Linked DNA regions of Elephas maximus indicus. The protein of the gene in region 2 interacts with the protein of the main gene of each other region in a biochemical or structural test. Links are inferred from orthologs where the notes say so. Each region holds a gene or a part of one and is shown on either strand. Other genes may lie near its edges.

Region 1 (7,228 bases), on a different chromosome or scaffold from region 2:
CACTTTCTGGGGGAATCCTGGGTAGGGAATTAGAAAGAAGACCAGCACACCAGAAATGACTAGCCCTGTGACTTTTTTGAAAAATCACTTCTATTTTCTGGGTCTCAGTTTTCTCACGGTTAAGTGAGACTGAGGGACTAACTCTAAGGTTCTTTCAATATTAAAAAAAAACTAGAATTCTGAGCTCTCTGGACAAAGAAAAGGAGTCCTGGTGGCACAGTGGTTAAGCATCCAGCTGCTAACGAAAGTTTGGCAGTTCAAACCCACCAGCAGCTGTATGCAAGAGAAAGATATGACGATCCGCTTCCGTAAAGATTACAGCTTTGCAAATCCTAAGGGGCACTTCTACTTTGTCCTATAGGATCGCTATGAGTTGGAATCGACTCAACCGCAATGGGTTTTTGTTTTTTTTCTTTTTCCTTTCTTTTTATTTTTTTGAGAAAGAAACTTCACAATGTAGCTCGCCAGCCCCCGAGCTTACTTCCATTCTCTGTTGCCAAGGAAGGCAAGGCAGGGAAGCAAAGGGCTATATGCACAGAGCAGGCCTGCACTGTGCATTAAAAAAAAAAAAAAAAACTGCCGCTGAGCAGATCCTGACTCATGAAGACCCCTTGAGTTACAGAGTACAACTGCTCTATAGGGTTTTCTTGGCTGTAATCTTTATGAAAGCAGATCATCAGGCCTTTCTTCCATGGCACTGCTAGCTGGGTTTGAACTGTCAACCTTTAGGCTAGTAGTCAACTGCAAACTGCTTGCACCACTCAGGGACCTACAGTGTATATAGTGGGGGGAGGGGAGACAGCTCCAGAGCCAGAGACATGGAGCCTGTCAGGCATAAGTGCCAGGAAGAGGCACCTTCAGGACCCACAGCAGGGTCTCAGGACCACAGCTCGGGCTTGATGAACACTTCCCCATGGATCTCAGAGTTCAGCTCCCGCCAGTTTAGGACATTAGGAATGACGGTCCCACCTAAATAAACAGTGTTAATCTCTTCTGGTGACAACACGCAGTCCCACATGTTCACACTGCCAAGGTCTCCCACCAAAGACTGGTTTATATCAAAGTCGCCACCAAAGGAATCCTGATCCTGCCCCACGATGATAATCACCTCTGATCCCACAGTGTATCCCTTCCTCAGGCTCTTTCTCACCATGGGCTTCCCATCTAGCCAGAACTCAACAATCCCTGAGGCTGACTCCCAGCTTGTACAGATGTGTGCTGGAGCAGCAGTGGTTTCTGGGACACGGAATAATACCTCAGTCCCACCCACTCCAACAATATATCCTCTACTCTTAGACCCAAATATGAGGATCTCATTAGCCTGTTTCTGAATGGCATAAGAGAAAATGCCATAGCCACAGGTCAGATTCAGTTCGGAGTAGACGTGGAAGCACAGGGTAAACGCTTTTAGTGGCTTCTTCAGCTGTGCTTTCAGAGACACGTAGGAATCGGCTGACTCTTTGGGGAACACAAAGGCCTTCTTATGCATGTCTGTGAGACAGAAAAAACATGCATATAATGTTTGGGACTGAGAAATAGACTCGCCCCTTCTTCAGGTACACACACATGCACACGCACACACATACACACACACGCACCCATGCTAAATATTCCTTTGACTTCTTTTTGTACAATTCTGGGTCCCATCACCGCCCCCATATCAAATCTCAGGCATAGTCTTGGATATTCCCTGTCTGGCCAGAAACATTAAAGAGGCTGATCAATACCAGGAAACACTACCACAGCTCCTCCATGATCATTCCCTGCTGCTGATGTCATAGGATCTGGGCTCACCTCCTTCAGAAGGTGTCTTTGGGTGAAAGCTCAAAGACTAGATCCACTTCTTCAAGACCTGCCCCATCCTGCCTGGATTTATACCCATGCCTGCAGGGGAAGTCTGTGCCACTATGCAAATTATTTTCCATCACTGCCTCTTGACGTCAGGTGTCAGGGTTCTGAGAAGAAAGGATTCATAATCATTACAGAACAGAGAAATCAATATGTGTGTAACTGATTACAAACCCAGTGACTCCTGAGTCGCCAGTTCTTAGTGGGAGGAAAAATGAGGGAGCTCCCCAAGGACTCCAATTTGGCTATCTATCCTGAGAAAATAATGGAAAATCTTAACTTCATAGAGAAGTGGCCATCTGTGTGCACACGATAGTGGTTATCTCCAGTGCCTACTTCAGCCCAAGTCATAGAGTGTGATGGAGAAATGCTGACAGCTGCTAGAGACAGATGTCATCACTAAGCCCTTTCAGAAGCTGCTTGTTTACAGATTGGGAAATGAGGAAAACAATGATACCATTCACTGAGCCAAGGATAAATTTTTCTTAGCCAACTGAGTTTACTTATTAAGAACTTTCTGGTGTAGTGAAATATGCACCTGGTCACAAATGTACCACGCATCAGAGGTTCTTCAAACAGACTATTTTCTGAATATACAAAGCTTCAAGGAGGTATGAATAACTGGACTATCAGTGCTGGGAGCGGACTGGTCTCTCTCTAAATATATGACCGTAAAACTCGAGTAGTCCTCTATATTACCTGGCAATCTTACTACAGTTCCCTCCTGAATTGATTCTCCAGAATGACTATTTTGCTCCTTCTCTTCTCTCCTTAAGCCCCTAAAACCACATCCATCTTTGTTCTCAGCTGATGAAATCACCTCTTCATTGAGAAATTAGAAGCAACCAGAAAACGACCATTGCATCCCTTGTGGAAGAGGTTTCTGGCAGTTCCCCAATATCTATTCTCCACTTCTCATACAGTGAGAACAGAATTTTTAGCTGGACACATGGCCACCCAGCCAAACACTACATTTCCCAGACTCCCCTGCAAAAAGGGGTGACCATGTGATTAAGTTCTGGCCAATGAGACATGATCAGGAATAATAGCAATAATTTCCAGGTTGTGCCCTTTAAAAAGAAGACATGCGATTTCCCTTTCACATCTCTCCTTTCTTTTGGCTAGTATTCAAAAATAATAGCAGGAGCTGGAACAGCCACATTTAAACCACGAGATGCAAGCTACAAGTTGATATTGGCAGAGCAAGAAGAGGGATGGCGCTTGAATGACTGAATATGGAGCTTTTTTTTTTTTTTTTTTGTATCAGCCTACCTAAACTGCCTACCTGAACATTTTCTTAAAGGAGGAATTTTCTCTCTTGTTAGATCACTGTTAATTTAGTCTTTCTGTTATAGCAGCCTAACCAATATCCTTATACATCCTCCCACCACCAAATCATCACCAGCCTTTCTTCATCTTTACTCACATATTCTGCATCCCCCCTCTTACAAGGGATGAACTATCCCTACACATATCTAAGGCCAATGCTTGCACTTCTGCAGTGGATCCCAGTCCCTCTCAACTGGTCAAGGGATTTTGATACTCTCTCACTTCTGCATCATTAATGTCTTCATTTCTACTGGATCATCCCCAAAAACAATAACTATGCTTTAATATATTTAATATTTCATAGGAAGGAAAGAAAGAAGCCCAAGATTCCACATTCCCTCTAGCTACTCTCTGCTTTTTCTGCTCTTCTTTACTTCAAAACTCCTGGGAAGGGTTGTATACCCCCTCCATTTCCTCATCTCCTGTTCTCTCCTATCTATGCAAACCATGCTTTCACCTCCACCATTCCAGAAAACCAACATAAACAAAACCTCTCTCCTGTAAATTTAATAACCAATTTTCAGTCCTCATCTTACTCAACTTCTCAGCAACATTTGACACTTCATAACTTCCTCTTGAATACTTTCACATAGTTTAAAGAGTAAAATAATTATAAAGTCTCAAGCCTAAAAGAAGTGGCTCTCTGTCCCACCTTTCTCCACCCCTGATTCCCTAGGCAAGCTGAGAGAGACACAACCTCAATGACATTGCTTGAAACTCTGAATCCAGTCTCACCTGACCCCACATCAGGCCTTCTGAAGTCTATGAGCCAATAAATCCCCTGCTTACACATTTTTACACATTTCAGTTGTTTTTATGACATTTATATTTGAATGAGTTTTGACTAATAAAAATACCTTCATTTGTAAAGTCCTAATTTTTTTTTTTTAAATCCATAGCATTGTGTCCCTAGATTAGTCATTTCTTGCCCCTGAAATAATACATCCGTTGGCATCCTCACCACAGGAGTCCCCTCCTTTCCCCTCACCAGATAAGCATGAGATTAAGCTTAGCCACAAAAACGGAAGTGAAATATTCAAGATGATAATATGAGCAATGACCACTACCACGTTTCAATTTCTGCAGTTTCATACAAAAACTCAAAAAAAGCTTCCTTGAACCTCTATATCCATGATAGTCTATTTTATGAATCAATATCTTTCCAGTCCTCAAAATGTATTGGTTTGCAAGACAAAATTCTGAGACATCCTTACTCTAAAGATTGTATCAATTTGGTTTTTTGTTTGTTTTCCTGCTCTCTATCTTAATTGATTTATTAGTGTAACTTCTACTGGGCATTTCCTCTTTCCTAATCACTATTAGAATTGCTGTTCTGCTTTACCAGCACAATAGTTACAGTTGTACTTACGAAGCATTATTTTATGTCTCTGTTGCCACTATTCACACAAACTACTTAATAAAATCATCTCTAGAAAACGTGGGCCCAAGGTCTTTCACATTAAGCAGGTAAGAAGCTTTGAGGACTTTTTGAACAAGGAAATAATAGATCTCTGTCTTAGAATTTTTTTAGAATTGGTTGCAGTGGGAAGGATGTATTAGAGTTTCGGAAATTATAAATAGGGAGACAACTTAATGTGTCATAATTCATTAATTCAACCTGGGCACATTTTATGAGCATTTACTAGTGACAAGCACTAAGCTAGCTAAGTAGAAAAGTTATGCTAAAGACTAGTCAAAACTAAGTCTTTAACATAAGACTTTAATGTAAGAAGTTACATCAAAACTGTAGAGTGGAAAGAACGAGAATGCAGAGAAGCAGATTGAGAATCATGTCAGTAATAAAATGGATAGAACACCGATCAAACATGGAGCTACAGAGAGTAGTGGCCAAAGATATCTAGCTAGCTTTCTTAATTCAAACATTGTGTGAATGAGGCCAAGAGGGTTCGATCATTACTACATGGGCCAGTTAGTTTGACTTACTTGGTAGCCAACCACCACAGCCCTAAACAATCATCCTAAGAAAGATGAGTCCGAGGTCAAGAAAAATTGCTTGTGTAGATGGATGCAAATTCAGCAGCACCATCTCTGTTATGAAAAAAAAAAAGATAAATCCAGATCTTATTTGTCATGGATTGAATTATGTTCCCCCAAAAATGTGTGTATCAATTTGGCTGGACCATGATTCCCGGTATCGTGTGATATTCCTGCCTCTATGATGTTAATGGGGGAGGATGGGTGGCAGTTGTGTTAGTGAGGCAGGACTCAACCTACAAGATTGGATTGTGTCTTGAGGCAATCTCTTGAGATATAAAAGAAAGAAGCGAGCAGAGAAAAGGGGGATCTCATACCACCAAGAAAGCAGCACCAGGAGCAGAGAGCTTTCTTCGGACACGGGGTCCCTGTGCCTGAGAAGCTCCTCGACCAGGGGAAGATTGAGGACAAGAACCTTCCTCCAGAGCCAATAGAGAGAGAAAGCCTTCCCCTGGAGCCAAGGCCCTGAATTTGGACGTGTAAACTACTAGAATGTGAGAAAATAAACTTCTCTCTGTTAAAGCCATCCACTTGTGGCATTTCTGTTACAGCAGCTCTAGATGACTAAGACACTGTCATTTATGGGCAGTAGCATTACCTTCTTGAAAGGCAGCCTGTACAGAGCCTGGCACAGAGTTGGTATTCAGTAAGTACTGTGGGGTGAATAGATGAAGGGATGACAGAAGGAATGATGGAGAAAGTACAGAGGCTAAATATAATCAATGGTGAACTGAGCACAAGCACCAGTATCTTCTACCTATCTCAGTTCCTAAAAATGACAGAGAACATATTTTTAAAGAGTAAGTCGATACAGTGCCAGAAAAAAAAAAAGGGGGAAGAATTTCATGAGGAGAAAGAAGCTTGAGGGAATCTCTGAAAGACAGAACGCAGATAAATCAGATGGATAGAGGAAAACATATGCCAGAAAGGCTGCTATAAAAATTTGAAGTGTTTTGAGGGTGCTCCAAAATAATAGGCAGTGGAATCAAGCAGTAGAAAACAAAGCAGGGGACAGATTGGTTGAGGAGTAGCGGCCACCATCCCTTGCCCTCCTGGCCAAGTGTCAAGCTGCAAAGACCTTTGTCTTCAGGCTGGAGGACAGAGTGCTTTGGCCCCAGAGGCAGGGCACAGTCCCAGAAGGCTGGTGACACCCTGGAGGAAACCTTAAACTCTGACATCCAGAAGACAAATTACTGGTAGACTCCATAAGACATGCTGCCTATTCCTCATAATTCCTGGAAATGGACTACAGAAAATAGCAACAGCTTCTATAGACTGTCTGAAAGAATCAATGCCATGAAAAGAGGGCACCACACTCAACAAGCAGAGGAACACCTACCATGTTGCTGTTAGTTGCTGCCAACTTGGCTTCAACTCATGGCAACAAGAGAACAGGACGTTGCTCTGTCCTGCACCATCTTGCCAATCATGGGCATGCTTGAGTCCTTTGTCGCAGCCACTATATATTTTGAGTACCTTCCAATCTAGGAAATTCATCTTCTGGCATTATATCAGACAATAGTCTGTTGTAATCCATAGGATTTTCATCAGCTACTTTTCAGAAGTAGATTTCCAGGCCTATCTTCCTAGTCTTTCTTAGTCTGAAAGCTCCACTGAAACCTGTCCACCATGGGTGATCCTGATGGTATTTTAAATACAGGGTAGTATAGCTTCCAGCTTCATAGAAACATACAAGCCACCAGAGTATGACAAACTGACAGATGGATGGTGGACACCTATCTTAGGAAATAGAACTTCAGGCAAAAAGAGAAGTTTTTACTGAGAAATATAATTAACATACTCAAAACATAAAGCATAGACAAAAGACAAAAAGCTTGGGGATCAAAACTTTGAGACTCAAAACAGAAATTTCAGGGGAAGAAAACTTTGAAACTGGAGATAAGAAAATAATCAAAGGAATAATAGAATACTTCCCAGAGTGGAGGACAAAAGTGATCAGATTGAAATGGGCACAGAGTAACTAACACACAGGGTATGTAAAAAAGATCCATGCCCAAACAATGAGAAGGAGCTTGACCACTATGACAAGGAGAAG
Region 2 (7,148 bases):
AAGCTCTGTTGCAGAACCCAAGAACTTCTACTGTCTGTAATTCCATTGTACATCTGGTCTATGGGTCCCAAGTTTGAATTTATTGTATAGTTTTTGAAGTCAAGAATCACTTTCATTTAGCTCAAAAAACTTCCGGAATTGTCGGAAGGAACATCTCTATAATCACTTTTCTATCTATTACATGTTTGGTTAGCAAGGTTTATGAGAAACTTGGCTCTCTCAGTTAAAATGTCAAAACGAATAGAAGTGCTATGTCAAATCATTCTATGATTTTTGTGTTTTTTTTTCCCTGCTCAGTTACCTTACTTTCCCTGAGACTTTTTATTTTTTTACTAATTTCTCTTTATAATTTTAAGCTAAAATGTGACACTTTTTCTCAATTACAATATGCCCTTTACATGCCTTATGTTCTGAGACTTATTAAAGTTGTTAAGAAATAGGTAAAGTGCATATTTGTAACTAAAAACAGAATATTGGTTGGCAGAATCTCAAAGGCCCAGGCACGCTGGAAATAGTGTGGGGGAGGGAGGAGGAAGCATTGCTGGAAGAAAGAGAAGTGGCAAAGTCTACAGAACAGTCCAGAACTGAGCAAATAGTAATGGGTCAACTTAGACTTTGGTGCATGACCTAGCAACAAAAGGCCAAAAAACAAGAATCTTTAGTGATCTGCCCTTGAACTTTATTTGGGAACTTATTTCTAGCCAAAAAAAATTTTACTTTTCAATACCTAAGTTAGTTTTAGTTGAAAATTCTATATAAGCAAAAGAGTAACACAGGCATTACCAGGGTATGCCTAAACTTCAAATAGGCAAGGATTGCCTTAGCCCACTTTTCCCTGTTTTGCCATTTTTGTGGGCATTTTCTTGACCCCTTCTCATGGGCTTACTGTGCAGTTCATTCAGATCTCTTTTACCTGGAAATACCTCATCTTCCAGAGTCACTTCCTCCTATTCTTTTTACCTTCTTCCTCATCCATTTTTATTCTTCCCTCCACTAAAATTGTTGCAGGAATGTTACCAGATTACAGTAATTTGAGGTAGATTATGGGGAATAATATCAGACTTAATTATCCTATTGTACTTTCTCAGAGTATTTGCTATTCCATGTAAATTTCAGATTGGTTGAATGTATGGTAATAAAATATAACGTATTTTAAAGGGGGGAGAGAAGATACTGGTAAAAACTGAGCCAATGCACAATTTTAAATCACACTGGGCGGGTAGGCACCTATGCTAACTACACTAACTTTGAAAATATTTTTTGGGGGGGTGGATTCATTGCATTGGAATTCAAATAGAATTTGGGATTATAAATCACTACCACAATTTTTCAGTATTAGACAATACCTATTGCCATCGAGTCAATTCCGACTTGTAGCGACACTATAGGACAGATCAGAACTGCTCCATAGGGTTTACAAGGAGCGGCTGGTGGATTTGAACTGCTAACCTTTTGGCTAACAGCCTAGCTCTTAACCATTGCGCACCACCAGGGCTCCGTATTAAAATTGCGCACCACCGTAGACATTAATAAATAATATTCACTTATAGCCTTATAAAGAGTATTTTTTATTAATTTATAATTAATTCTTATAATATTCATGTCAATTCTTTTTTCATATCAGATTTAATGCCAATTTGAAGCCACAGTTTACCTGAAAAAATATAATATAAAAAAAAGAATTCTCTGATTTGAATGGAGTCTTTCTATCTTTACTCCGTCATGTATTTAAGGGTCTGACAGAACATTTCTGCCCTTTAAACCTCCAGGATTAGCAAACATATTGTTCCCCAAAACAACAGTCAGTGTGTACTTGGACATATTTCAGCATAGTTGTAATTTGTTCACTTTAATCATCCCGAAATTTCTGGGGTGTGGTCTAATTTTAAATAGTATACAATTTTTAAACCCTAAATCTGAAAGATCAACTTGAAAATTTTGGTTCATGAAATATTCCACAAAGCAGAAACGATGTGGTAAAACTGAGAAACTGTTATTTTAAACTCTGTCCTGCAATTTGAACAATGTTGCCTGTAGTGAGTTTACCTATTACTAACTGTGAGGGCAAATGTCCTGTAAAAGGGATATTTTTAATCTGTCATGAAACAGTAACAAATTAAATTTCACTGTGAATCCAGAAATTGTCTAACTACTATCAGAAAAACTCCTGCACTCATATTCATTAGTCCAGAAGATACTTTCCTAGAATATGTCATATAAATATGTCATACACAACCACAAAAAAAAAACTTCTGAACAATTCAGATTGTGTATTCAGTTGTTTTTCAGATTTCCATTAATATTTTCAGTCTAAAGACGCAAACAATGATCGTTTATAAGATTTTTCAGGCTGCAGCAATATCAATTGTAAATGATAAATGAATTCATCTTTAGGCAGAGTTAACATCTACGTCTGAGGAAAGAATCCAGTCATACAGGATTTGAAGGCTTTTATTGAATAGTTTATATTCTGGTTCTATCTACCTACCTATCTGCCTCCCTGTTTATCTATCTATAATCTATCTCAACTTTTAATATTTCTACATAAAGTATTTTGGTAAAAATTCTAAGCAAAAAACTAAATTATATCTTACAACAGTTGGCAAGAAAAATGATTATGACAGATTAGAGTTTTCAAAAATGTTCCCTAATGGTTGCACAACTCGAAAAATGTAATCAATGTCACTAAATGGTACATGTAGAGACTGTTGAGTTGCTGTGTATATTCTCAACAACAAAATAAATAAAATGATATAAAATAAAAAAGGTTCATTAAAACATTTTCTTAAATTTTACATTAAATAAAATTATGATTAAGTAAACAGTTATGCTATTAAAATAAGCTAATTATATTAAACTTAATTTCAAAAGCCACTCACATTAAGCTACAAAATAATAATTTTTTTTTTAATTATCACCATGAAAATCCATTAGCAAATCATTTGTTAGTTATAGAAGTCTCTTTTAAACTTACCTTCTGCTATACAAACAGTCCATAACGTAAGCCAAACAATCTTTACCGGAAATCTCATTCTGGGACTTTTTAGTGGAACATTTGATACCTGACACTGCTCACACTGTATCAGATTCTCCTCTGCTAAAAATTGTGATCAGTGCAGGCAAGTACTGGCTCCAAAGGAAATTGAAACACAGTTTAGAAATTAAAGGGATTACTAGATGCTCCGCCCATCAGAAACTTCTGCAAAGTGAGACAAAATAATCAACCACAGGCCCCAGGAGCGCCAGAGTATGAGCCAATTCTCACTGCACTCCCACCATGAACACTGTGACCTGTTCTTTGGTTTATTATAAACCTAGTTGTGTTCTCCGTTGGAACATGCTCAGGTTCTTGGAATGCACAAAGAAGTAGCTGGTGATGTCTTGTGCATTTCATAAATTCTGCAAATATTCAAACTTCGTTGTGTGTAAAGCTCAGAACAAAAACTCTTTTGAAAATCATTTACAGAACTTCATGTTAGGTAATACTTTTGCAATCAAGACCCAGGCAACTTGAATAAGCTTTGCCAAGAATGCAGTGCTGGCTGATCTTTTGGGGCCTGCTTTTTCCATAATTCATGAAAAGCTAGTCTTCTAAAGGCTCTTTATACATGTGTGTGAGGCAGTCAAGGAGCCCTGGTATCACAGTGGCTAAAGTGCTCAGCTGCTAACCAAGAGGTCGGCAGTTTGGACCCACCAGCCACCAGAGGAGAAAGATGCGGCAGTGGCCTCTGTAAAGATTTACAGCTTTGGAAACCCTACAGGGCAGTTCTACTCTGTCCTAGAAGGCCACTATGAGTCAAAATCAACTCGACCACACTAAGTGGGTGAAGCAACTGGCTCACTCTCATTTAGCATAAATGAATTTAGTAACGAAAAATCAAGAAATAATGATGCTCATTTTAAAAACTATTTATTGAAATATACATAAAGAGAGATGAACACAATGTAAGCATACGATTTGCTGAATATGGAGAAGGTGAATAGCAACCAAGGGCAACCAGTGCCCAGGTCAAGAAACTGAACATTAGACTTCCCAGAAAACCCATGGTAGTCCCTTCAACAACCCCACTCCCCAGTCCCAGCACACAAGGAAGATCACTACCCTGATCTCTAAAAGCATGAAATAGATTTGCCAGTTTTTGTATACTTTTTTAAAATGTACTTTAGATGAAACTCTACAGAGCAAATTAGTTTCTCATTAAACAGTTAATATACAAATTGCTTTGTGACATTGGTTGCCAACCACACAATGTGTCACCACTCCCCTTGTCCTCCTTGGTTTCTCTGTTTCATCTTTGCTTCTGTTTTCATCTTTGCTTCTAGGCTGATATGCCCATTAGTCTCCTATACATGATTAAACTATGAAGCACATTCCTCATGTGTGCTATTGTTGGCCCCATAGTCGTGTCTAATCTTTGGCTGAAAGGTAAACCTCAGGAGTGAATTTAGTACTGAATTAAAAGAGTGTCCAGGGACCATACTCTCAGGTTTCTCCAGTCTCTGTCAGACCAGCAAGTCTGGTTTTTGTTTTTGTTTTTTTTCCTTGTGTGTGTGTGAATTTGAATTTTGTTCTATATTTTTCTCCCTTTTTGTCTGGATCCCTCTTTTGTGATCCCTGCCTGAGCAGTCGGTGGTAACCAGGCACCATCTAGTTGTTCTGGGCTCAGTTTTGTGGAGGGGGTGGTAGTTGTGGTCCATTAGTCCTTGGGCAAATCTTTCCCTTGTACCTTTGGTTTTCTTCATTCCTCTTTGCTCCAGCCAGAATGGGATCAGTAGATGTATGTTAGATGGCTGCTCAAAGGCTTATAAGACCTCAGGCATTAATCACCAAAATAGAACGTAGAACAGTTTCTTTACAGACTATGTTATGCCAATTAAGCTAGATGTCTCCCGAGGCCATGGTCCCCAGCTCTCAGCTCAGTAGCTCTGTCCCTCATGGTGTTTGGATGTATCTGTGAAGCTTCTATGACTTTGCCCTGGTCAAGTTGTGCTGACTTCCCCAGTATTGTCAACTGTCTTACCCTTCACCAAAGTTACAACTTATCTACTATCTAGTTAGTGTTTTTCCTCCCCCCCTCCACCCTTGTAACCATCAAAGATTGTTTCTTTCTGTGTGGAAACATTTTCATATGATTTTATAATAGTTGTCTCATACAATATTTGTCCTTTCGTGATTATTTCACTCAGCATAATGCCTTCCAGATTTATCTATGTTGTGAGATGTTTCCCAGATGCATCATTGTTTTTATCATTGCATAGTATTGCATTGTGTCTGTGTACCACAGTTTGTTTATCCATTCGTTGTTGATGGGCATTAGGCTGTTTCCATCTTTCTGCTATTGTGAATAATGCTGCAGTGAACATAGGTGTGCATATGTCTATTTGTGTGATGGCTCTTATTTCTCTAGGATAGATTCCTAGGAGTGGATAAGATGGTATTTCTATTTTCAGCTTTTTAAGGAAGCGCCACATCATTTTCCAAAATGGTTGTATCATTTTGCATGGGCATTAGCAATGAGTAAGAGTTTTAATCTCCCCGCAACCTCTCCGATATTTGTTATTTTCTCTTTTGATTAGTGCCAGTAATGTCAGGGTGAGATGGTATCTCATTGTGGTTTTGATTTGCATTTCTTTAATGGCTAGTGAGGGATCTCGAGTATTTCCTTATGTGTGTCTGTTAGCTGCCCAAATGTCTTCTTTGGTGAAGTGTCTATTCATATCTTTTACCCATTTTTTAAATTGGTTTGTCTTTTTATTGTAGAGGTGTTGTATTTTCCTATCAATTTTAGAGATTAGACCTTTGTCAGATATGTCATAATCAAAATTTTTTTCTCAGTTTGTAGGTTCTCTTTTAATTCTTTTGGTGAAATCTTTTGATGAGCATAAGTGTTTGATTGTTAGAAGATCCGATTTATCTAGCATATCTTCTGGTATTTGTGTATTGTTAATTATGGTTTGTATCCTGTTTATGCTGTATATTAGGGCCTCTAGTGTTGACTGGAAAACCTGGTGGCACAGTGGATAAGAGATCTGGTGCTAACCAAAAGATTGCCAGTTTGAATCTACCCGCAGCTTCTTGGAAACCCTATGGGACAGTTCTACTCTGTCCTATACATTCGCTATGAATCGGAATTCACTTGATGGCAACGGGTTTGGTTTTTTGGTTAAGCGTTGACAGCATTTTTTCTTCCATGATATTTATAAAGTTTTGGTTTTATATTTAGGCCTTTGATCCATTTTGAATTTTTATGGTGTGAGGTATGCATCCCGTTTCATTTTTTTTTAGATGGATGCCCAATTTTGCCAGCACTGTTTGTTAAGAAGACTATCTTTTCCCGATTTAATGGACTTTGGGCCTTTGTCAAAGATCAGGTGGCTGTAGGTAGATGGATTTACATCTGGGTTCTCAATCTGTTCCATGGGTCAATGTGCCTGCTGTTGTACTAGTACCAGGCTATTTCGACTACCATAGCTGTATACTAGGTTCTGAGGTCAGGTAGTGCTATGCCTCCTATTTTGTTTTTCTTCTTCCGTAGTGCTTTACTTATCCCAGGCTTCTTTCCTTTCCATATGAAGTTAATGAATAGTTTTTCTATCTCTTTAAAGAATACTTGTAATGATTAAGATTGTGTATCAACTTGGCTGGGCCATGATTCTCATTATTTTGGCAGTTGTACAACGTTGTGATCACTTTCCTGTTGAAATTTGATATGTGATCACCCCCATGATGGAATCTGCTGAGTGGTACTGGCAGGGGTGGGCCTGTGGCAGCTCACCGCCCCCTCAGCCTTCATGTCACTGCCTTCTGGCACCTACTTCCTTCCTGCTTGCCTTGCAAAACTTGTTGGCTTGTTCTGGATCCAGCAGCTGTCTCTTGTCTGCGCTCTGGCTGTTGCGGCTCTTGGGACTTCAGCTAGGAGCTTACCTGTTCATCTTGGGATTCACCAGTCTTCCCAGCCTGCGAGCATGAGTCCTGTTCCCTGACCTGCCTATCTTGGGTTCACCAGCCCCTGCAGCTAAGTGACTCAGGAGAAACTTTACAGTCTTGCCTGCCGGCCTTGTGGTTTCATCGACCGTCACAACCTGTGAGCGGGATCCCTGCTCTCCAACCTGTTCATCTTGGGTTCACCAGCTTCTGCAGCTCTGTG

The links.
Region 1: the proteins of CFH (region 2) and C-reactive protein-like form a complex in vitro, tested with the Homo sapiens proteins (12 studies listed by BioGRID and IntAct, with this or other methods). The link is inferred for Elephas maximus indicus from reciprocal best matches to the Homo sapiens genes CFH and CRP.

Annotation. Positions count from the first base shown.
Region 1 is NC_064821.1:198,293,112-198,300,339, forward strand, and holds C-reactive protein-like, read right to left. Parts: upstream 2,330-7,228; 5' UTR 1,490-2,329; coding exon 878-1,489; 3' UTR 716-877; downstream 1-715. UniProt on the Homo sapiens protein: Displays several functions associated with host defense: it promotes agglutination, bacterial capsular swelling, phagocytosis and complement fixation through its calcium-dependent binding to phosphorylcholine.
Region 2 is NC_064842.1:63,160,687-63,167,834, reverse strand, and holds the start of CFH (complement factor H), read right to left. Parts: upstream 3,282-7,148; 5' UTR 3,033-3,281; coding exon 2,975-3,032; intron 1-2,974. UniProt on the Homo sapiens protein: Glycoprotein that plays an essential role in maintaining a well-balanced immune response by modulating complement activation.